2 linked regions of the Arabidopsis thaliana genome follow. The protein of the gene in region 2 interacts with the protein of the main gene of each other region in a pairwise test. Each region holds a gene or a part of one and is shown on either strand. Other genes may lie near its edges. The genes, in order: AT4G17430 and AT2G27940.

Region 1 (13,224 bases), on a different chromosome or scaffold from region 2:
GGTGCAGCTAAGTACTTTCTTGGTATTGAGATTGCACGTTCAGAAAAAGGGATTTCAATTTGTCAAAGGAAGTACATTCTGGAGCTGTTATCTACTACAGGTTTTCTTGGTAGTAAACCGTCTTCGATTCCTTTGGATCCAAGTGTTAAGCTGAATAAAGAAGATGGTGTTCCTTTGACTGATTCTACCTCTTATCGAAAGTTGGTTGGAAAGTTGATGTATTTGCAGATTACAAGACCTGACATTGCATATGCTGTCAACACTTTGTGTCAGTTTTCTCATGCTCCAACAAGTGTTCATTTGAGTGCTGTTCATAAGGTTCTTCGTTATCTCAAAGGCACAGTTGGACAGGGTCTTTTCTACTCTGCAGATGACAAGTTTGACTTAAGAGGTTACACGGATTCAGACTTTGGTTCTTGTACTGATTCTAGGCGTTGTGTGGCTGCTTATTGTATGTTCATTGGAGATTATCTAGTCTCATGGAAATCAAAGAAGCAAGATACAGTCTCTATGAGTACTGCAGAAGCAGAATTTCGAGCTATGTCACAGGGCACTAAGGAGATGATTTGGCTTTCCAGACTTTTTGATGATTTCAAGGTACCATTCATTCCTCCAGCCTATCTCTATTGTGATAATACAGCTGCTTTGCACATTGTCAACAATTCGGTGTTCCATGAGCGCACCAAGTTTGTGGAGCTTGACTGTTACAAGACAAGGGAAGCAGTTGAATCAGGTTTTCTTAAAACCATGTTTGTGGAGACTGGAGAACAGGTGGCAGATCCTCTAACCAAAGCTATCCATCCAGCTCAGTTTCATAAGCTCATTGGCAAGATGGGAGTGTGCAACATCTTTGCCCCACTGCCATCTTGAGGGGGGGTATTAGCTTGTATATACTTAGTCTATACTTGTATATAATAGCAGTGATTAAGGGCTCGGTATAATCCCGGTTTATTCATCTAATTAAGGTGAATCTCTGGTTTATTATTGGTTTAGTTGGTTTGTTGTCTATACAACATTGTAACAAACTTTCAAGATTATTAATGAGAAATTGAGCTTTTACCAATTTTCTCTCGAGCATGGTTCCTATTAACCCCCTTTAAACAATGTAATTTGAAGCTAAGAAATGACGTCTAATCACTCTTTTAAAAAGATCAAGCACTACTTGGTAGAAAAAAAAGAAAATCATGGATGTTTATAACTAATTGACATTATAGGTCCTTGTGCATAATACTTTAGCCTTTAGGTCTTGTCTACACTTCGATTATGAATTTTTTTGAACACATGTAGTCTCATTCAATATACGTAATTACGTATAAAGTAAATTAAGATCCACGTATAAAAACTTTAATAATACAAATCGTATTTTCTAATGTTGTAATCATTTGAGGCGTATATATATGGTTTGCTTTTATAGTAGGACTAATAATTATCAATTTACATAATCATATTTGATGCGTAGCTTAATTATTCTCTACAGAAATTGGCTGTAGGTTAATGTCATCATTGGGGAACTTTATATGTTTGGACCTAACTTCCCCATTATAGTCGAATATTATATATTCTCTAGTACATGTAATAATGCGAATGTTTAAACACTTCAAAGAAAATACTCATTGACATCGACATAATGAATAAGAAAGAGGCCTAGCAATAAAACGAATGATATGTAATTTGAATTTGACGTTTCATATAGTATAGTTAAAATGTTTGATTCTTGATTATTAAACATGATTTTAACGCATCAAATGGTATGAATATTACTGCTACATGCATATGCATAATTATTGAGATTCTAGCATCATGATTATTCAGAAATGGTTTTGGGAATCTATGTTTTTAAATAAAGAAATAGTTGGTGTACAAAATGAAGCTTCAAGGAATGCTTGTAATTAAAAAAAAAAAAAAGAAGAAGAAAGGACCAAGTTGGCTCGTGCGATATATCCTCCCATGTGGAACCGACGTGGCGCACACATTCCTAAGAGAACCACACCACCCATGACAGCGAAGCACACGTGTGCTCTTGTCCACCCACACGTGCATTCTTGGTCAAAATATTCCTATGTTCTCTTGGTTGTCCTCAGTCAATGGTCAAACTTCTATAATTTTATTTGGTTGAGTAAAATAGGAAGAAGTAGCCAACTCTCTCATTAGAAGAATGTGGCTTCCTCTCTTTGGGATTTTCAAAGATGGCTTATCAGTTTCAGATGCTATAATTTAGTTCTTTTTACTAATTGGCTTCAGGTTCAGCCCCTTGGACAGGTTGATAAGCCACTAATATTACTAATATGTCCATTCAGAAATCTTGAATAATGAAACCAACTAATATTTCCCTCAATTTCGTTCGTTTTGGATCTATAAGATTTGAAAATTGGCTTGATCATAAAAGTGGAATAGTTTTGAAACATGTTCTCCGAAAACATATGGTTTCCTAGTTACATATTTTAATTCTTCTAATGGCGGTGAGCTGTGGTGGTCATGTGGATTCATCGGTTAACCAAAAATCGTTTGGGATATTTTTCGGTTGTAATGACACGTGCACTAATATATACATACGGACTCATTTAACTACCTTTAAATAAATAAATAAAAAAAACTACCTTTAAATAATACTCCCATCTAACGATTGCTTTAAAATAATTACTGGGTAAAAATGAGGTAAAAATGAACTCTAATAGTTTATCTTATGGATTCTGATGTACCATTTTATGGAGAAATTATATACATGATTTTAAAATGGCCACCAAATTAAAATGAACCATCCTAAAAGTAAAATAAAATAGAACTAAACCCATGAATTTATGGTTCTAATTAGTAGTAACAAAAAAATTCTACATTTTTGTAATTATTATTGACTTTTGTAGATTGTCACTATTTATGTGTTGTTAATATATATGTTCTTCCTCTAGTTAACTGATGATTAAAAAAACCATCGTCGATTACACAATTCTCTATCAGGTCCTAGTTCTGGTAGACGTGAAATTATATTATGGTTTGATTGGTCGAAAATAATTTGGATATTTTAGTAGAAATGGAGGGCACTCATGGAATTTAGGTTTAGCCCCTAATTTTCCACTGCGTGACAGAGTAAGGAATCGTTTTTTTGTGCCATTGTGTGTGGTTGGTCGTTGAAAGAATACATATCTCAAGTACAACGAGGACTGTGTATGACGTCGATAAAGCAATTAATGGCACATGATATATTACCAATCACATCATTTAATTTATTAGTATCATCATCATCGTCATTGCATTATCTTACATTCCTAATGTTATGTTTAGAAAAGTACTTAATTTACTCCACATAATCATTAACTTCTATCACAACAATTAATCTCTAAGTAAAAGACAAGCTACATAATATGATAAAAAAATAAATGGACATGCGATCATCTTCGGTTTTGTTCTTGGTTTGGATTCAATTACGTTTAAAATTTGATATCACTTTTTCTCTTTTAAATTAAAAGATTGAAACTGTATATGATACTTTTGTGGCTGTGTGTGATGTAATCGGTGAAAGTTGTTCTCGAATGAATTGGCTTTTTGGAAACAAGAGGAGCCCACTGAGAATGATACTCTTCATTGATTATTCGGCAAAGAACTACATGTAATAATGATTAAGTTTTTGAGTCGGAACTAATTTTTTAATTTTCTTAAAAAGAAACAATTAAAACCGACAAACTGACCATTTGGCTTCGCTGTAGAAGAGCATAAATGGCGAGAGTCAAATGATTGTGGACTAGAATCATCATGTGATGAAAATGAAACACAAAAGGCCTAAGATAACCAATTATATGCTCTAACCCCTATATAATCATTCCCATTATAGTAATAATGAGAAGAGTTCATAATTAATGGAACAAACCTTCTTCAAAGTAAGCATGCTCTTGCAAATTAAATACTAAAATTTACAAGAAATCACATTTTCCTAAAAAAGAAAGAGAAGTCGTAACTGGTGGTATTCTAGGGCCTTTTGGATTTGAAATCATGAATATTAGCCCATTTAGCTTATTGTGGTTTAGGTACTCCATTCTCACATTAGGACTTCAAGCCTTAAGATGCAATCACATGAATATGAACTGTGAGCCATTTTCTTTATGCAGGTTGTTGTTAAGTGGGTATGCAGATTTTTTAAAAAATACAGTCATACAGAGGAAACAACTGTGTGATTAATAAACCAGCGTAAAAGCAAAAACTACACTCTTAGTTTCACATTTTTGGAATAATTAGAAACATTAATGCAGAACTGTAACTATTTTTAGCCGTCTTCTCAAAGTTATCTGCAGGTTTTTAATTTGCTTTTATTCTCTTAGAAACCTTATTGTACTTAAAAAAACTTATATGGATCTTAATACACTTTCTAACTATGTGTGTTAATAAGAGTTATATATGGTTTAATAAATCATTGTCTGTGCTAATAAGAGTTATAAATGGTTTCAAAAAACCCTTTTTAAACATAGATTATGTTGTTTTCCTCTGCCATTAAACTTAGACGCATCTTAATTACTAACTCAAAAACAAACCCCTCTCGCTCTCTCTCTTTATATATATCTATAATTATATGACCTTACCGATATTTACTTATAGTTTAGTTACTACTAAGTTTGATATGAGACAAGAACATGTCTCTTGAGATATCTTCTTCCTAGCTTCTACTGTGATGTATCTGGATTCTCGATCACCAGCATACCTATCTACCCTGCAACAAAGCAGAAACAAAATCCAACTACTTAAGCACAAACCTCAACAAGATCAAGCAATGTAATATCATAACAACGTTACCATATATCCATGAAAATGATAAGTTTCAATTAGGGAGATGACTTCACCTTTTTCCTTCACCAAAAGACTCCTTTGCATCGATCATCACTGCAAATGGAATACAATCGCTGTTACGGGTTTTGTATCATTAAAGCAGCAGTACCATTAGGTTACGTAAAGCTAACATAGAATGAAACTTCATAAAATCTGTAATAGCACCTAAAGGTCTAGACTTTCATCCATTTCATACTATCTACAGATCAATGTAGCTAAAGGGCAGGTTGATCCAAGCTTTCATCGAGCAAGTAAGTGGACTGATCAAAGCTAACCTTAGCCGGAGAAGTGGCTACTCTGAAGCAATCAGCATTCATCCCAACGAGACCCAATCCAGGGAAAATGACCTACAATGGCAGACATTGAATTGCCTAAGAAAATGGAGACACTAAAAAAACGTAGTCATTGTTTTGAATTCTCTGTGAGGCAATTCGTCGAACACCTGGTGACTTACATCGAGATGTTTCTGCATAGCTTTTGCCCTCTTCCTTGGCCGGCGAGATGACCTGTTCCCACTCATGCTGAACAAATCTTCTTCGATCTCGTCTCGAGCTAGAGCAACCCAAAGCCTATGATTCTCGTTTGCAACCTCACCACCGCCTAATCCGGGTGATTCCGCCGGGATTCCTCTCTGCCTGTTCGATTTCGGCTCAATTCCTGCGCCTGATTTCTGATTCTTCACCTCCGAACCTCCTCCTCCGCCGCCACCGCAAACCTCCGCCGTGAACACGCCGTTTCCTTTCTTCGAACCACCATAAGCCTTCCTCGGACGAAGATTCCACGTCCTCTTCGCTTCCTCCTCCTCCGTTTCTTCTCTCTCCTTCACCGACACCGGCACTTCCTCTCTCGCGGGAGAAATCTCATCGGATTTCAGCTTCTTCAGGTTATCGTGCTCTGATGAGGGAGCAAAGGAGGAGAAAGAGAGACGCGGCTGACGACTTGACCGTGACGCCACGACACGGTTAGAAACAGCCACCGTCTCCGCCGATTGAGAAGCAGACCTCTCCGACTTGGAATTCGCAGACATTGGTATGAGATTATACCAAAACGTATTCACCTGAGAGATGATCAAAAACCCTAGAAGGTAAAAAGCAGAGAGGAGAGAGAGAGATGTAGGAGATTTACGGAAGCTGATGCATGCGTAAGTTTCTAATTATGTTTTTATTCATGGGGTGTTATTGGTTTATGATTTCAAAAGACTTTTAGTGTTTTAAAGTGTTATTTAGAATTTATTGTTATTCGATCACGATTTGTTAAAAGTATGTTATATTTTGTTGGCTAAAATAAATCATTAGTTAATTATTTTATATCCTGATATATCAACATCAATTATCATCCTTCTGATATGGGGATTAATATATGTTAACAATAAATCCAGAAAATTACGTTTAGATTTAGACATATAAATAAAGAGATCTTAAAGAAAAGAAGAGAAAAAAAAGAACCCGTAAAAAGCTTAAAAGACTACAACTGCTTAAGTCTATCAATGATGATCAATATATTCATGTAAGTGCTAAATAGGTTAATTTCTCTAGTGAATTCGATTTTGGACTAAAAATCAACAAATATTAGATCATCTAGTGAATTCGATTTCTCTAGGCCATCAAAGAATATTATTAGTTAGGTCCAAAGACCTAAATTTATTTTTGTGTATAAATTTAATAAAATAGAAATTTACATTTTGATATTTTTAATATTATTTTGGTGACAAAATATTTAGAAATTTTTTATATTTTTAAATATTCTTTTATTTTCATATATTTTTTATTTTATTTTACAAAAATTTAAAAAGAATAAAAATAAAAATAAGTTCATAAATATTAATTAGCAAGATATCTAATCTCCATTGCTTGTTTAAAATGTTATGTGGACGCGCAAATAGCTTCGTATAGATTATGTTACAAAAAGATTTCTAAAATTAACTATGTTTAAGTTCGTATTATTTTAGTTAAGGCCCATCAGAGAATATTAGTTAGGCCCAAAACAGTGACACTCACCGTTTTGGCATCTTCTACACATGAGCAAAACTAGACGCAACGCAATGATGGCGACTAAAACCTCAGAGCAAAAAACATGAACAACTTCTTCAATCCCAGTAGACCAAGCCCACGTCCATGGCCAAACAGGAAGAAGCAAACCGACAAATCTGCGATATTTCTTTGCTCCGTTTCTATACTTGTTGTGTTCTTCATCGTCGTCTTCTTCATCACTTACTCCGAGATGCCCAAGTCCTTGTTCTCAATCTCTGCATTTTCTGGATCCGTTCAATTCCCTCAGTGCAGATCCGAGATACTAACCCGAACTCTTCTAGGTCAGAAGTTTCTCTGGTACGCTCCTCACAGTGGATTCAGTAATCAGCTATCGGAATTTAAGAATGCGCTTCTTATGGCGGGAATTCTTAATCGGACCCTAATTATTCCTCCGATTCTGGATCATCACGCCGTTGCTCTCGGTAGTTGTCCTAAATTTAGGGTTTTGAGTCCCAGCGAGATACGAATCTCAGTTTGGAATCATTCAATTGAGCTTCTTAAGACTGACAGGTACAAAATCTCTTTTTTTTTTCGTAATGAGTTTTAGTAATTTGATCAATGTGGGTGACAAATGTTGGTGTTTATAGGTACGTTTCGATGGCTGATATTGTAGACATTTCGTCGCTGGTATCTTCTTCGGCTGTTCGAGTCATTGATTTTAGGTACTTTGCATCACTACAGTGTGGTGTTGACTTGGAGACTCTATGCACTGATGATTTAGCTGAACAGTCTCAGGCTTATGAGTCACTGAAACAGTGTGGCTATTTGTTATCTGGAGTTCGTGGTAATGTAGATAAATGTTTGTATGCTGTGGATGAAGATTGTAGAACCACTGTTTGGACTTATAAAAATGGAGAAGCTGATGGGAGATTAGATTCGTTCCAGCCTGATGAGAAGCTCAAGAAGAAAAAGAAATTGTCCAACGTGAGAAGGCGAAGAGATGTGTATAAGACTCTTGGACATGGTACAGAAGCTGAGTCTGCAGCTATTCTAGCATTTGGGAGCCTCTTCACAGCTCCATACAAAGGCTCAGAGCTGTATATCGATATCCATAAATCTCCAAAGATAAAATCTTTGGTTGAGAAGGTCGATTTCCTTCCTTTTGTTCGAGAGATAATGATCGCGGGAAAGAAATTTGCTTCAGAAACCATAAAGGCGCCGTTTCTTTGTGCACAACTTAGATTACTAGATGGCCAGTTCAAGAATCATCGGGAGAGCACTTTTACGGGTTTATATCAGAAGTTGGAAGCTTTGAGCGTTAAGAATCCTGGTCTAATTAATGTGTTTGTAATGACAGACCTTCCTGAATTTAACTGGACCGGAACTTACTTGGGTGATTTGTCTAAGAACTCTACAAATTTCAAGCTCCACTTTATAGGGGAACAAGATGAATTCTTAGCGCGAACAGAGCATGAACTTGATTCAGCGAGTCACGGCCAGAAATTTGGGTCTATTCCGATGAGTCTTGATAGTATAAAAAAGATGCAGACCCATTGTTACCCTCATGGAGGATCCAATGTGCAGCTTTACATAGAGGAAGCTGTTTGTAGCTGTGCTTCACTGGGTTTTGTTGGTACTCCAGGGTCTACAATAGCTGATAGTGTAGAGATGATGAGGAAATACAATGCGTGTAGTAGTAGTTGAACTCAGACTGCATTTCTATTGGATTCATCTGGTGGATGAGCCAATGTGTAGTGATTTTATTAAGTTTTGCCGGTCTTTGTATAGAGATGGATAGAGATAGATGATAGATCTGTCATCTGTCTCCACTTGAAGTTATTGGTGATGAAAACAGGCTCTTAAATTGTTTTGTGTTGTTAAGTTATTTGGGAAACTATCTAAGTTTCTTATTAATAGATGAAGCTACTTGGTTCCTTTCTGATTATTCACACACAACAATGGAAGAGTAAAGGTTGCGTGGGATGGTTGCTTAGTAAAGGTTTTGTGAGTTCTGTAGATGTCTCTAGTGGTCGACAAGATTTGTAATTGTTGTACCAATGTCTTTAAACCGGCTATTGAATAAGAAATTTTGTACCAAATAAATCTAGTGAAAGAGGGTTGGTTGAGAAGAAATGTAATTATATTAAACCGGAAATGAAATTTTACGTCGATGTGTATTTTGTGACCAATGAGATCTCTCCACGTAAACAGATTCCACGTGCAGCTTCAGGCCGATTTAAGCGAATTTAATCTGTCGTTTTGTTGGGTTCCCGTCGGTGACATCCACCGCGAACATTTCGACCGGAGTTTTGAGAGAGCTCAGAGTGTTTCGAGTGTGTTATTTGGATCTGCGATCTGATCGTCTCGCATCGACGTGAAAGGTTTTCTAATCCAATTGGTTCTGTGGAAATTTGGATTCGGAGGTTTTTGTTTGGAAGATCTTTCTGCGGTTTTCACCGCCATGGCTGCTCCGTTTTTCTCTACTCCATTTCAGCCTTATGTCTATCAGGTTTGTCTTCTATCTTCGTTCTCTTCTCGCCTCTTAGATTCGTATTCTTGTCTGTCACTATCGAGAAGGCTAGTGTTCGAATATACTTCTTCGCGAGTATTTTAGGATCCTTTCTCATGTAGGTGTTGAGTAATGTGATGTGTACTTACATCTAATTCAGTGATAATGCTAATAAGCTATTTCCTGGGTGAGAAATTGATCTCTTGAATGTGTCTGTGGGAGTATGAATCTCACAAGTGGTTATATGATGCAGAGTCAAGAAGATACGATCACACCTTTCCAAATTTTGGGTGGTGAAGCACAGGTTGTTCAGGTAGGTCGACATTTTATTTTGTAGTCTGGGCATTTTGTGTTTATGTGATTGACATATATACTCAAGCATTTGATTGTTTTTTTGACAGATAATGTTAAAACCACAAGAGAAGGTCATTGCTAAGCCTGGTAATTTCCATATTATGATTCCTCATTAAGTTTTGTAAGATCTGTTGGGTTGGATTGTATATGTTAACTGATTATATATGGTTCTTTAGGTTCAATGTGCTACATGTCTGGGTCCATTGAGATGGATAATACTTATACCCCTGAACAAGAAGTTGGAGTTGTACAATGGATTTTAGGAAAGAGTGTTAGTAGTATAGTTCTTCGTAACACTGGGCAAAACGATGGATTTGTTGGTATCGCTGCACCTTCTTTGGCAAGGATTCTCCCAGTTAGTGGTTCTTACTTGCCATGATTTCCTTCCGTAGTATTTAGTATCTTGCTTGATATAAGTATATCTCCTTATCTCGTTCTTATGTGTTTTGGTGACCTTTGGCTTGTTTCTTTCCGTGAAGCTTGATTTGGCAATGTTTGGTGGGGACATCTTATGCCAGGTAGAGCCGTCAATCTTTAGCTGCTTGGCTCTCAGCTTTTTCCTCCTCATTCAATGATGTGACTTTTTCTTGTTGTTGTGTAGCCAGATGCATTTCTCTGTTCTGTCCATGATGTGAAGGTCGTAAACACTGTGTATCAGAGACATCGAGCAAGAAACATTGCTGCAGCTGGGGCTGAGGTAAGGAAAACAATACATTGCATTGGCTTTTGGCACAGTTCATTCAAAACTTAAGAGTTATACCTTTCCTAGTTACTTCTTGTAGATGCTACTATGTGAAAATTTTATATATGTTTGGCTTGAAGTCAGAGAGTCGTTGTTGTAGGGGGTTCTGAGACAAAGGCTTTCTGGTCAGGGTCTTGCTTTTATTATCGCTGGCGGCTCTGGTATGCAACTAAAGTTTATCTCAACTTACTGCTCTTTAGGTTTAGGCCTTTTAAACTGATCCTACTCCATTTGCTTCATAAAGTTGTACAGAAAAACCTGGAGGTGGGAGAAGTTCTCACCATTGACGTTTCTTGCATTGCCGCTCTCACTCCGTCGATCAATTTCCAAATCAAATACAATGCTGCTCCTGTAAGACGGGCAGTTTTCGGGGTATGTTATGTTTCTTCCTTATCCATTACAAACAATATGTATTAAGGTTGGTCCTTTTGTGTCAAACTTACAAATCATCTACATTTTGTCAAAAAAAGGGTGATAATGTAGTAACAGCAACTCTAACGGGACCAGGCATCGTGTTCATCCAAAGTTTACCGTTTCATCGACTCTCGCAGCGAATTGCAAGGTTAAGAATCGACAATCTCCTCTTGGTATAAATAACTATGGTTTCTTGTACTAGACTCAGCAAGGGTTTTTGCTTGCAGGTCGGTGACGTCCCCAAATATGAGAGAAAATCCAAGATTATTAGTTCAAATAGGGTTATTCATATTTCTTGCATACGTTGTAATTGTGTCCTCTTTAATCCTTACTGAAATGTGAAATACAGAGGTGCACTCACATTTGTATCCTCTTTTGCTATATATGGGATTTACTACACCCATATCACCTTTTGTATTCTCTTTTGCTATTAACCTTTCTCAGATTCATGTTGGCAGCAGTGGCTGGGATGTTTATTGTGAACAGATACTTGAAATCATTCATATAGTCGAAATAGCCTTTGAGATCCCTAAAACTTTCATCATCTTCCACATGATTAACTTTGCTAGAGCACAATATCTTAACCTTAGCTTCAGCAGAGTAAAAAAAAATTCTTGAAATATCAAAAGACAAATTTGTCTTATGTTTCAATTAAAACCCTTACACGAAAACAAATAAATGCCTAATTTAACATTTGGTATCAACCTAATTAATTTTTAAAACTTTGTTGTTAAATCTAATGTGCCAAAATGGATGCTCAAGTGTTAAATTCTTGTAAGACAAAACCTCTCTATTAATGAGTTCCAATGTGTACATCTGAAATTGCATCTCAAACGATGTAAGAATGAAGTGCTTAAACGTATGCTACTCAATATTAGGCTAATTCGTACTCAATTTCAACCAGTATTTTAACATATACTAACATCATATAAGTTTAAAATCAAATATCACAAATTATTTCAAAAAGATGACCCGGCTGGTATTTAATTAAATAAGAAGTCATACAAATCTTTCTAAATAAAAAACCGAAGATAGTGAGAAATAAAGACCCATTAATATTACACATATTCGATTACATATGACTTTTTTCTTTAACTCATGCAACAAAACATCTAGTCATCTTCCATCTCTGAGTCATAGGGCATTCTCGTCATAGTACCAGGCCATGGGTTCGTCTCCGTGAAGATAATGAAGGGCGTTTTAGTCATTTACGCACACATTTGAATCTTCTTCATTCTTCGAATCAAGCTCGCGCTCTTTCTCCTTTAGATCGCTTAGAATGACGGAAATGCTCATCACCGGCGTCAGAAGGTGCAACCGAAGGAGATCGCTTGTACCTTGATGGCTTCCTCTTGAAATGTCTGTCTTCATCATCACTTGAATCGTATTCCACCATCTCTCTTTCTCTTCGACTGTGATGACGACGACCCGATGAAACTGGGGCGACTGAGCTCTCTGGAGGCGCTGGAGAAGACTTTGATGTCTTTCGTTGTTTGCCAGAAGATTCCTCTGGAAAGCTTATCCGAGTGAACACGTTAGACTTATTGTTATCGTCTATCTCTACAGTTGGATCCGATGATGACTTTTCGGATCTCTTACGGTGCTTGCGATCTGTCTCTCTGGGACGGTCACGGCGGCGGTCGTGTTCGGAATCGAGGTCATGGTGACGATCACGCTCAGATTTCCTGCTGGATGATCGAGGAGGAGAGGTGAACCTTCGAGATGACTGACGCTCCGGTGACGATCTATCCGATCGCCTGCGACGGTCGTAATCAGACGAAATCGGCGGCGGAGGTCCTTGTCTCTGTTTATTCAAGAACAAGGCCATTATTGGTAAAATAACAGAAAAGAAATTTAAATCTTGAGCCCAATAAGAGATATATTGGGCCCAACCCATTTATCTTTTACTTTACTCTAAATAGCTTATTTAACGAAGAAACAAAGAAAAGAGAAAGCAAACAAAGGTTTATACTTTATAGCTTCCCAGTAAAATCTTAATTTTGCAGGATAAAGAGTGACCACTACTATCCTTACACGTGGATTACAAACGTGTTTTGGTTTCAAAATATAAAAAGACGTATTTAATATAGTCCTGATTTAATATGATTTTGATATCAGTATTTAACGTTTACTTTAAAAATAAAGTAGATCAAATATCTACATTTTAATAGATAACAAAAATTTAATATTGTAAAAAAAAATTTCGTCAAAAAAAAAAAAAAAAAAAAAACTATTTAGGTAAAATATAATGTTAGAAAAATAATATTTTATAAGGTCGGCAATATAAAGCCAACTGGTCTGTTTGGGACCACGCTTCATGTAAGTCTATAGGGCCATATTAACCCGTACGATAAGATATACTACCCTGAAATTAAAAACATTTCCTACGACTTTCTACTTTAGTCTTTTGTTCCCTACAAATT
Region 2 (12,121 bases):
CCTTTCTCTCTCCCTCTACTGATCATCTTCATAAAGGTAATGCAAATGGCAAGAGCATGTTCTTCGTAATTTATTACATTGTTCATAAGGTTTTGTCTCGCTCTTCCCTTTTTGTATATATTGTAATTATTGTCTAAGAAAAACAAAACAGGAGAGAGATTAATGGAGGAGCCGAAATGGCTCGAAGGTCTCTTAAGAACAAACTTCTTCAGCATTTGCCCTCGACATCGCGAGACACCGCGAAATGAGTGCAACATGTTCTGTCTCTCCTGTCAAAACGCTGCGTTTTGCTTCTACTGCCGCTCCTCCTTTCACATTGATCATCCCGTCCTTCAGGTCCTTCATTTTCTCAACACACAATGCATACACATATATATATATATCACTTTTGACTCAATCCAATTCTTTATCATTAACATTGAGACAGATAAGAAGATCGTCGTATCATGATGTGGTGAGAGTATCGGAGATAGAGAATGCATTGGACATAAGAGGAGTGCAAACTTATGTCATCAATAGCGCGAGGGTTCTCTTCTTAAACGAGAGACCTCAGCCTAAGAACTCCTCCCATGGTGCCGCCTCCTCCACTCCGAAAACCATGTCCTACTTCTGTGAGACATGTTGCAGAACCCTTCTTGATCCCTTTCGCTTCTGTTCCTTGGGTTGCAAGGTTCGTTTTCCTACACCTTTTCTCAATGCAAAATTCCTTTTTGTAGCTGGATGGATAAATCATGAGCAAAAACCTGTAAACTTCATATCATAGAAAAACGAATGCATAGTTATAAGTCAATCTATCTAACGAGCACTTTACAACTGGACCAACAAAATTGGTTTATCATATTTTCATCATTATTACTAATATCTTCGCATTTATTTGTCCGATATAAAATGAGGAATCGGTTTAAGGATACACCGTATAATGTTTAGTTACTTGTATGGTAAATTCATTGAATCAACTATATTCAAACTCGCTTAATACATGTTGTTTGCCTCATATAATGTATCTTAAGAAAATATATACGAGGTTAGATGTTTGTATATATGTATATGGTACATTTTGCTCAAAAAAAAAGTATATGGTACATTTGCATAACGGAAATGTATGATGTGATCATAATAAAAATGTCAGGTTGAAGGAATGAGGAAGAATAAGGAAGAGGAAGAAGAAAGATTGCGTAAAGAAAGACAACAAGAAACGCACAAAGGCACGCATCCTCCAACTCATACCTCTAATTCTAGGCGACGAAAAGGCATTCCTCATAGAGCTCCTTTTGCCTCCTAATTTAATCAATCTTTTTCAAGAAATAAAATAAAACTTTTCTTTAACTTATTTTTATCTTTTTAAAATCATCAGTTAATGGTCCACCCAAACATAGCATAGTATATGCGTATTGGGTGGGTGTATTTATATATTCCCAATTTGTACAATGTCCAGCTCACTTCTCACAATCCTCTCACATGGAAAACCAACAATTTGTATAGAAGAAAATCCTAATTTCCCTATATTTTTTTTTTGTAAAACATTAAATACATTTCTAGCTAATTGTATAACATATATCTATACTGTAGGATTGTAGGATGGACTCTATTTGATATACTAATTAATTTTTGTGAAATATAAGTCTTACCTTTAAAACACATTATACAAAAATTAAGAGTTCAAAAAGACTCTTTGTGGAAGGAAGGAATAACATGAAAATTTAGGCATTAGTTAGACTATGAGAATGTCGGTGGAGATATACTGTATACTTTATTTCCGAGTAGATAATCTAATAACTAATCGATGTGGTGGTTTGAAGTTACCTGTCTCTATATCCATCTAGCTACTAAATATTTTAGTTTAGACTGAAATTGTGTGGGGTTTAGGGATCAATAATTGTGTATCTAAATGGTTTTTTTTTTCTTTTCTTTTTTTTTGGGAAAATATCTAAATGGTTAAGGGACATGAATGTGTATATGTTTTGTATAGACACATGAAATGTTCTTCGACATTAATTCTAAGCTGTTATATAATTAAAATAGTTTGTCGTAGGCGTTAGGTATTCGAAAGGTACAGTTACTTAAAAAAGAAAATGAAACTTTCACTTATTTACATAAATAATTTAAGTGGTAAAATTTTACGTAAAGGATGGTCTTATTTTAGTACGCATCGACCTTAATTTCCTTCACGTTCTACATAATATATTATGGCACTTTAAGAAAAAACTAGGTTATAACATTAATTATGAATTACGTGTTGTCGTTTCTCGAGAATAATTAGAGAATTGTGGAATTGTACAAAAGTAATAATTGATGCATAATGCATTGGTAGTATAATTCTCCAAGAGGAAGTCAAGCTCATGTTGCGGTTGTTGATCGCACTGCGAGAAGCATCGATCTCTTCAGCTTATAGTCAGATCGATTCTTGGATTCTTGATTCAGGAGCCTCTTTCCACACTAATGCTCCCTAGGACATAATGGAGAACTATGTTGCCCAAAATTATGAGAAGATATCTCTAGTAGATGGATTATCTTTGGACATTGTTGGTGTTGAAGACATTAACCTGAAGATGTCAGATGAGCTTGTATGGAAAATCACAAAGGTTAGACATGTCCGAAAGTGATGTGAAATCTATTTTTTGTTGGACAATTTGATGATACATGACACGATATCAATGTTGGTTGTGGAGCTTGAATAGTGACAAAGGGTTCCATGACAGGTACAAAAAGCTATAAAAGAGACACTATTTATATGACCACTAACTATGAAGATATATATAGTTGATGTTGCCGAAAATGCCTAAAACAAAACTGAGTTGTGGCATTATAGATTGAGGCATATGAGCGAGAAATGTATGAATTTCATGGTAACAAATGGTGAATCTCCAAATTTAAAGATATTAAATCACTACATGTATGAAAGTTGCATCCTTGGAAAGCGGAAACGGGTTAGGTTTTGAGTGATGGTAGGAAGTTGAAATCTAAGAAGTTGGAGCTAGTACAAAATAACTTGTTCGAACCTGCTTATGTTGCATCGCTAGGAGTATCACACTATTATGTGACTTTCATTGATGACTCCAGTATGAAGTTTACTTTATGAAGAACAAGTATGGTTGAGATAAATCTCAAATTGAGTGTCTAATATCTGATAATGGTAAAGAGTACATTTGCGGTGAGTTTATAAAATACTGCGCTGATAATAGGATTACAATGGAGAAAACTATTCCTGAAATGCATCATCAAAATGAAAAAGTGGAGATTGTGACTAGAATTTTGAACGAGCGTGCAAAAAACTTGTGACTCCAGTGTAGATTGCCTTTAGATATTTTGGACAAATGAAATCAATACCGCAACCTTCTTGAGGACCGTCTGTTATATTCCAATGGGATTCAAGATCCTTGAAGAAACTTGGATCCATTGAAATAGCCTTGTTTTTGTGGACTAAGATGAGAGAAAAATTGTCTTCTCTTAGCGTGTTATTCATGGTCATTAATTAATTTGTGAATTGAACTTAACTATTTGAATTTTTTATATTGATCTTGACCTTTGACTATTAATTTGATCCATTCATGAGCCAAACATATGTATTTTATGGGTCTCCGTGACATGGTGAGCTTCCAAAGAAATAAATTGGATTCATTGTGGATGGTACACTAACACTTGAGATTAATGAGAGAAATTTTTTTCAATAAAATTAAATATCTTAACAAATATGAGAGAAGAATATATATAATGAAATTAAATATATTAACAAATATGAGGAAAAATATATAATGAATTAAATATATTAACAAATATATTAAATATGTGTGTGTGTGTGAATAGTATAAATATTATTATGTAATGAGGAAAAATAAAATAACCAAGATGGGAAAATTTTTAATATGTTTCTTCTTCTTGTTTTTCATCTCCATCCAAAACATAGAATCCATTATAATACTTAGGACTTATTACATTGATATTTCGAATCATCTTGCAGGTAACAAAAAACTCATGATCATTTGTAGATCTGGAGATCAAGCGAGCCCACTTAAATTTCTTCCCTTCAATGTCATTTGGAGAATAAAATTTACAATTTACCCAAAAACTTTGATATGGTGCCACGTATGGAAGGTAGTTCAATTTCCACTGTTATCTCTTTCACATTGTTACACCTATAATTTTTTAACGATATATTCTTGTTTATATTTATGTTATTCATGTAAATTTTTTTATTACGATATCTTTCCAGGGACCTAATTATGTTCATCATGTAAAGTTTAACGCGTTTATTGCGAAGGAGAGTTTTATACATGATGTATGTGGAGGTCGGAAACCTAACGCATGTTTTTGGCAACCGAGAGAAAGCGGAATATGGGCACGAAATAATAGTGCTGGAACCCTTAAGTTCACGTATAAATGGGATATAAATACCAATATATCACCTTCTTATTAATTTTATATTTACTTAAAATATATAATTATTATTATACCAATATCTCATGTTACATTAAGAAATTAAACAATAAGAGTGAGTCACCAAAAGTTGGGTATTTTGTTTAATTCTGACGTTTTTCCTTACAACTTGTTTAAGTTGGGGACTAAATCCAATGTAAGCAATTAATGTGGAACAAAACTAAAACATTACAGTATTTTGCTTTCAAGTAACGTGCAACAAAACAAGGGCATCGAGAATTGGGGAAAAAAAATTGAAACCTGTAAATGAAAAGGTCCACTTAGAGGCAAACTAGCTAGATTCTGTTATAAACTTGAAATTCTCAGCATAGACTACAAAGGTGTAAACTCTAGTAGGTTTTTCAAACGCTTCAAAACCTTGGACTCTTAACTCTTTCAAGAGTCTTCCTTTCAGGATTGAAATAGAAAACAAAGAAAGGTTTAGATATATAGTCCATGGACAAAATAATTTCATGAGTAGCAGTCACTCCAACGCCGGAAGCATCTCCCTTAACGACTATATTCACCGGAAAAGTGTATACACATTCCAACCATTCTTGTTTCTTGGCATCCTCTTGTATCCACAAATACAAATAAAGCTTAGACCTAAGCCTTCTGGGATAAAAGTCAGTATACCAGTGCCAACTAATCACGCCTAATTAATTTACCCTTGTAATTTATCAGTTTAGTAGGCGACGATGGAACCAATAACTTCATAATACTAGAATCTGTCTTAAAAAAACTAAAATTTTCATTTCTAACATCAAAGCAAGCTATCTTCACAGTCTTTGCTTGTCCAGCAATGTAATACAAAACCTCATCGATGCATACCCCTTCACCTATAGGATAATGGTTTTCCGGACAATTCAGTTTTCTCCATGACATCTTCCGAGTTCCTAATGTCATAATATGTTCCTCTTCATTAGATACTCCATAAAGTGAATTTCTTATGTTTGATACTTTATATCGTTTGCCAATAGGATCATACCATAATAAGCTTCTTGATTAGCTATATTTAAATGTAATTTTTTTTTACTCTCTCTCAATTGGTCAAATTTAGAGGAGATAAAAAAAATTTACCACCCAATAATTGTTTCATTATTATTGGCTAAACTTAGGTGAGGTGAATAAAAAAAATGAACCCAATTTTCGTTCCATTAACATTCATTTACGTCGTTTTCTTAAATATGAGTACACATATATCAGTTTATTCATATAGTTAAACTAATATTTAAATACTAACATGTGCATACGTGTACGTTAATGTTATGAGTCATTTTACATTGTCAAGTAATAAAAATTGAAAATGAGAATTTCATTTTGTTTCTTAATAGACTTCAGTGATGGAGACCAAGCACCTACGCAAGCTTCTCCAGCTCTACCAAGCTTGTGGTGGCGAACAAGAGCTCACAAAAACCGTCCAAAACGTCACATCATCACCATTGACTCCAACGCCACCACCACAGCCACCTTCGGCATTAGACTCCACTATGGCTCTCACCATCTTTATCCTCTTGGTTGCTCTCTTCTTCATGGGTTTCTTTTCAGTTTACTTCCGCCACTTCGCAGACAGTTCAAGTTCAACGGTTGATATTTCTTCCATGCCAAGAACAAGATCCTCTAGGATGTCTCCACGTCGCCTTTCCACATCCGTCGTCGTATCACGGCCGTATAGTTTCCGGAGGGGTCTTGATTCTCAGGTAAATCCATTTCTCTAATTATCTTTCTCGGTTCTTATGTTAACCGGCAAGATTGGGACATTTCAGGCCGTTCGATCTCTGCCAGTGTACCGTTACACGAAAGCAGCGAAGCAGCGGAACGAAGATTGCGTTATCTGCTTGAGCGATTTCGAAGAAGGTGAAACAGTTAAAGTGATACCACATTGTGGTCACGTGTTCCACGTAGATTGCGTTGACACGTGGCTGAGCTCATACGTAACATGTCCCTTGTGCCGGAGTAACCAGCTGTTCTCGGATAAGGACTTGGGCATGCAAGAACCGCCTGATCAGGACTCGGCAGAAGAACATGACACGTGTGATGGTGTGGACACTTGTGTAAGGAGGTGTAGTAGCTGTTCAAGTTTGGGGCAGAGGACTGGATTGGAACGATCGCTGAGCCTCTGACATGTTCTTTTTTTTTTGTGTTGTTCTTAATCTTGATTTTGTCTTTGTATTATTGTTGTAATAAGGGAAGGGTATGAAATAATGACTTTGTAAAATGAGATTGAGTAGTAAATTTTGTTAGTGTTGCCAAAATATTATTTTATTCATTCCATTTTGTTTTATGAGATGTTTAAGAATAAAACAAAATTATGAGTTTCTGATTTTGTATTACTATTTTCCGTGGAAGGAAACGGAAAAATTGAAGCGAAATGTGTGGAAACGAAATTTTTGTTAGCATCAAGTGAATCAACCAATTTATTTATCCCCAAAAAATCAACCATACGTACACAATTTCGTAGTGTTTTGTCAAACACGGCTTCAGAGGCTCATTTCTTTGTGTCATCTGAAGTGTTGCACTTTTTAGATGTCTCTTTTTTTTTTTTTTTTGGATATGCATAAAAGTACAGGTAGTCACAGATAGTTCACTGCCACCAATTTCTATTGAATCTTTTGATGTTTCATGTGTATAAAAATAGTTAAGAAGTGTGTGTTTGTCTTTCTTACACCACGGATAAAATTAAGAGCCGAGTGAATCAGAGTAAATATCTATGCTAAAAACATCACAATCAAAGACATTTGATATCTGTAAAACCCAGAATCAAATAAGCAGAGCTTGGAGCCGTAGGAGAGCACAAGAGTTTCAAAGAATAGAGTAAGCACGAACTACCTCAATCACAGGGGCTTGACACATGGGACATTTTCCTCCCGCTTCCACTAGCTTCTTTGCACACTTCTCGCAGGTGTTCATATGTCCACATCTGTTGTTTACGAACGAAACAAGAAAAAAAAAACAGAGGAGTTTAGATATCAATTTGGGAACATGTTTAAAACAAATGTTGGTGTTTTCATGGTTCATAGTTTCATACGTACCTATACAATAAAGAGTCAATATTGCTCTCGCAGCATACGCAGCAGATCCCTTTCCTTACATATTCCCATTTTGACTCGTAACTCGCAGTGTCCTTGGATGGACCTGTGAATCGATTAAGGTGAGTCCACAAGAAAAAAAAAATAGTTGCATTCTTTGTTGTATACTGTTGTGACTTGTGAATCATCATATGTAAGGTCATAATGTGACTTGAGACTAATAGAAAACCTGGTTGGTCAGTAGAGCGGTGCATCGCAGCAGAGACCTCTTGTCTTATGGACCGTTGTAACTCGAGTTGCATTTCCATGCAAGCCTCTAGCATCCTCTGCAGGTTATCCATCCTTTGCTGTATTCTACCCATGTCAACCCTCAAATCGTTGATCGAATCCCAATCCTGCAGAGATATTGTTGATCAAGTTAACAAATAAGCGCAACAGCATATAAAATATCAACCAATGAGTTCCTTCATCTTTAGAAAAGACAATTGCTTTGGCACCCTTCACCCTAGGGATTAAGTTTGGGACTAGTCTTACCATTCCAATGCCCTGATGCAAATCATGTGCCGGCCAGTTTGAATGGGATCGATCATGGTCCCACCGTGGCTGAATAGGGATGACTGGGGAGGGTAGAGTCAAAGGAGGAGATTCAACAGCATCAAGTTCTTGACCACCACTCTGAGCATCATCCTGCTGTTCGGTATCTTCACCTACTATTGTATGGTCAGAATAAGTCTCGGCTTCTTCCCAGTCGACAGGATTTTGGCTTCGTCTGTCCATGTAAGATTGTATCAACTGGCTAAGATTTTCCCTAAACCCGCTCTGCAGAAGATTTGAGACACGTCTCCTGTAGTGCCCATAGCAAGCCATCAGATACATAAAATGAGGTTGAAAAGCGTCGCCATTACGGCAAAAATTTACTAGATATCTTACCTGCTCGAGAGTTCTCTGAGTTCCATGTTGTTCTCATTACCATCATCCGGAGGAAAGAATGTGGTAGCCCTTCCCATTGAAACTGTGTCCTGATCAGAATGTTCCTCTGACCAGTCTTGTATTGTGCTTTGAAGAGATGCAGCATCATCATCAGGCTGCATCTCTGTGAGTTCCCCGAGTATGTTGGCTTCTCTGTCCTCGTCCACAGATGATAACTGGGATAACTGATTTGGAAAATTCTCAGGAACATCTGTATCTGCCTCCTCTTCAGCGTCATCTCTCCATGCACTGGTTGCACCATTGATAAGTTGCCAATCGGATTCTTCGTTTTCCATCTGCTCCACGGTTTGTTCCTCTAGAGTGACAGTTAGGTTAATGCTTTCGCCCAGATTCTCCTGGAAATTTGTTGTCCGGTTTATCGGTCCCATGGTGGCAATTTCTTCAGAAATTTGCAGAGACTGTTCATAGGGTATCTCGATAGTTTCTCGTAATTGACAACCGTATCTGATCTCATCTCCATGAATTGAAGAGGATGAACACCCAGTAGCATTCAGGTCCACTTCCGTATCATTTCTTCTTTGAGAAAAATCATCAATTTCTGACCGTTGCCAGCCTTCTACACGTGCAGTCCTTTCTTCCAAACTTGTGCTCCGGCTACAACACCGTCCAGAGTTAGTTATCTCATCCAGTGAACTTTGGTTGTCAGCCTCTCGGCCATTTTGATCTGAACCACCGTCTGCATCATTGATGCTATCTAGACAATTCAGGTCGTTTTGTTCACCTCTATTATGATCAGTTTCAGCATTTGATGAGGTCTCAGAGTGACTACTGCTCGCTTGACCAGAGGCAGACCGGTCCAGTCTGGATATAAATTCCTCCCTAGCATATGACAAACACACAGTAAGCAAGGACCTTTTTAACACCTCTAAAATAGAATTTATTATTACAGAAGAATTAACTACCTCAGCTCAGATACAGTGTGCCTCTCTCTTAGAAAGCCCAACTCAGTGGCTGCAGATGATGTTGGTTTCTCTTTATCATCGTTGTCACCATTTCGCAAGAATCTCCCCCTTAGCAATGCCTGCAAAAGTAATTCAAATCATGATTTAAAGCTATGCCAACCAAAACCCAAGAGATAGAGTTGAGACATAGATTTAGCTCTTAACGCCTTCAAACAACCAATGTGCCAGTTAAGCTGACTGGTAATGATAGACAAAAAGATATCATATAAAATATAAAGAGATGCTCAGCATATCTATCACTACAACTCCTATGACACAAACGTCAAGTTAGAATCCCCTTAAGAGGAAGTATAAAATGACCAAAACGGGAAAGGAAGGTATATAGCAGGAAATAGAAGCTATCATAAACTCCCTCAAGTATGTCTCCAACCCCCATTCGACTATGAATTTCGTTATTCATTTTAGAAAAAAAAGTGACTACTAGACTTTCAGTCATTGTTCCTCTGACACAAGATGCTTATAATTGTATAAAGAACTAATGCTAATTATTGTTCCTGTATTTATTCCACATACACAAATAGCACAACATAGAATTAGGAAGGTTGGGGCGTCTTCACAATCTTTACGAATGTATCGGTAATTGAGTAGCCTGTGAATGTATCTGACAGTGGTTTTGGACAATATAGCACAGATTGATTTTTTCTTATTTGGGAATAGTTACTTAAAGATAACAATATCACATATTCAATGTCACCGAGACAAGTAACTGAGAGGTAAGAAACAGTCACAAAGTCTAATGAGCAAACCTGAATGCGGTTGCGATGAGCGAAGTTTGATACTGCATGATGCTGCATCAATCCCTCCAGCTCTCTTTGCCTTTCCATCTCAGCCATTTTTAACATATCCACCCACACTTGCCTACCACACAACTTGCGTATGCCTCTTCTAGCATGTTCATTCTGGATGCTGTTTGGATTAACAACTATTCCATCAAGTACTCTTTCAATCTGATTAGCACCTTCAATAGGTTGTTCTTCCCTGAGATCACCAAGAGCAGGCCTCTGCTGGCTATTCATCTGAACCATCTCCCTTATGATCCTCACCCTTTCTTGTTCAGTTTCACCAAGCCATTCTGCTCTTGAGCTGTTGGTTGCTTGGGAAGCAGAATCAGTATGCTGACCTGTCCCAGAGCTCGTCCACTCACGAAAAATCTGTCTAACTCTTTCCCTTTCACCCATCCCCAGATCAGAAAAATGCTCGCTCTGAAAAGGGCCGAGATCCTCACTCGAGTTATGTGACCCAACATGACTCTGGGTGGGAGACCATCCACCAAGTTCATTCTCACCCAGATTAACACTATCTCTAACAATATCATGTGCACTAATATTACTGTCACAACCATTTCCCCTCATAGTATTAGATGGTGAAGAAACACTCCTCCTCTCACCATCTCTCTCACGAGCATGACCCATCACATGATCATCCTCAAGTTCCCTCCACATCTGTAGGAGTGAGGATGCCCGGACGCTTGACCTTCCCTCATTTTCCCTTTGTCTAGTCGCCTGAACCTCAGAGTCCCGACGGAAAGATGAATCGATCACCAAAATATTTTGCAGACCAGCGATAGCCATTTGATCAATCTTTAACTGTATTAGCAAAAAGCCTAATTATCTACAAAATATACACAAAAACTGGCTTCTCCAGATAGAATTAGATCATCTCCTATGGTGCTCATCAATTTCAATACCTCAGATATTTCATCTGACCACGACTCTTAAAGCCGCGTTGCACTGAAATCATATGTTTATTATCGTCCAACAACATTCTCCACCAAAATATAGACTCCTTCTCTTTGCAGTGATTGCAGAATAAAGATTCCTTCCGTGAGGTTAAAACTTAGCTCCAAGCAAGCACCTGAAAATATTCACCATTCAAATGAATCAAATCCGAATTTCAAACAGATGATCTCTATATCAATCAGGTTACCGACTCTATGCTCGATTGCTGATAAAAATGGCGAAAAAAAAGAAAAAAAAATCAGATTCCCGATCACACTTATGAAGCGATTATGAACCCTAAATCTCACATTCTAATCCGTTTACGCAGTCACAGATTTATACGCTCGATAACAGTAACACAAACCTTGAATTGGATCTGAAATAAACAAAGATCCACAAAATCCGATCGAAAACCAAATCCGCAAAATTAGAGCTCCAGAAAGGAAAAAGGAGTAATCAGTGTTGGTGATGAAGCCAAAAACCCAAAGAATCCGCCATTAACAAATAAAAACCTAGCTTGAAAGGGGAAACACAAAATGAGAGAGACGTCATGAACGAAACCTACCAGTGAAGAGAATCAATATGGTGTGGCTTGGATTTAGGAGTGAAGAAACGGTCAGCTCCGAGAGAGAATTTAACCAGAAGAGAAGACGAAAGAGAAGAAGAGTGAATTGTGGAGAGGAGGAACATGTGGACCTCTCTGCTTCTTCGGGAAGAAAATCTTACCGTAACACGAACGTCTGGGGAAAAATAGACTACCGACTAATACCTGATTGACACGTATCATGCTTCCCAAAGTTGGTTTTTTTCTTTTTGGCTTCAACTAGTATGGAGTATTATTTTAAAATATATATAAATAAAGAAAAATATCAAAATAAACTCATATTTATGATTTGGATACATATCAATTTTTAGATATTTGGAACAAAATCTAGATAAGAAGATCTCATATGTTTTCTCTAAATCGATGGACTTTGGCTATCAATCCAAATATTACGATATTTTGCAT

What was found.
Region 1: the proteins of AT2G27940 (region 2) and AT4G17430 interact in a protein complementation assay, tested with the Arabidopsis thaliana proteins (one large-scale study listed by BioGRID).

The regions. Positions count from the first base shown.
Region 1 is NC_003075.7:9,720,463-9,733,686, reverse strand, and holds AT4G17430 (O-fucosyltransferase family protein), read left to right. Parts: upstream 1-6,852; 5' UTR 6,853-6,885; coding exon 6,886-7,352; intron 7,353-7,429; coding exon 7,430-8,486; 3' UTR 8,487-8,977; downstream 8,978-13,224. Other genes in the region: AT4G17440 (chromogranin (DUF1639)), read right to left, coding at 5,028-5,159, 5,267-5,839; AT4G17420 (Tryptophan RNA-binding attenuator protein-like protein), read left to right, coding at 9,244-9,291, 9,545-9,604, 9,693-9,732, 9,822-10,000, 10,125-10,163, 10,247-10,342, 10,488-10,548, 10,632-10,759 and 2 more; AT4G17410 (DWNN domain, a CCHC-type zinc finger), read right to left, coding at 12,045-12,605.
Region 2 is NC_003071.7:11,892,207-11,904,327, forward strand, and holds AT2G27940 (RING/U-box superfamily protein), read left to right. Parts: upstream 1-5,735; 5' UTR 5,736-5,756; coding exon 5,757-6,113; intron 6,114-6,179; coding exon 6,180-6,536; 3' UTR 6,537-6,661; downstream 6,662-12,121. Other genes in the region: AT2G27930 (PLATZ transcription factor family protein), read left to right, coding at 245-670, 1,130-1,282; AT2G27950 (Ring/U-Box superfamily protein), read right to left, coding at 7,216-7,333, 7,446-7,548, 7,672-7,837, 7,977-8,286, 8,373-9,251, 9,335-9,453, 10,141-10,965.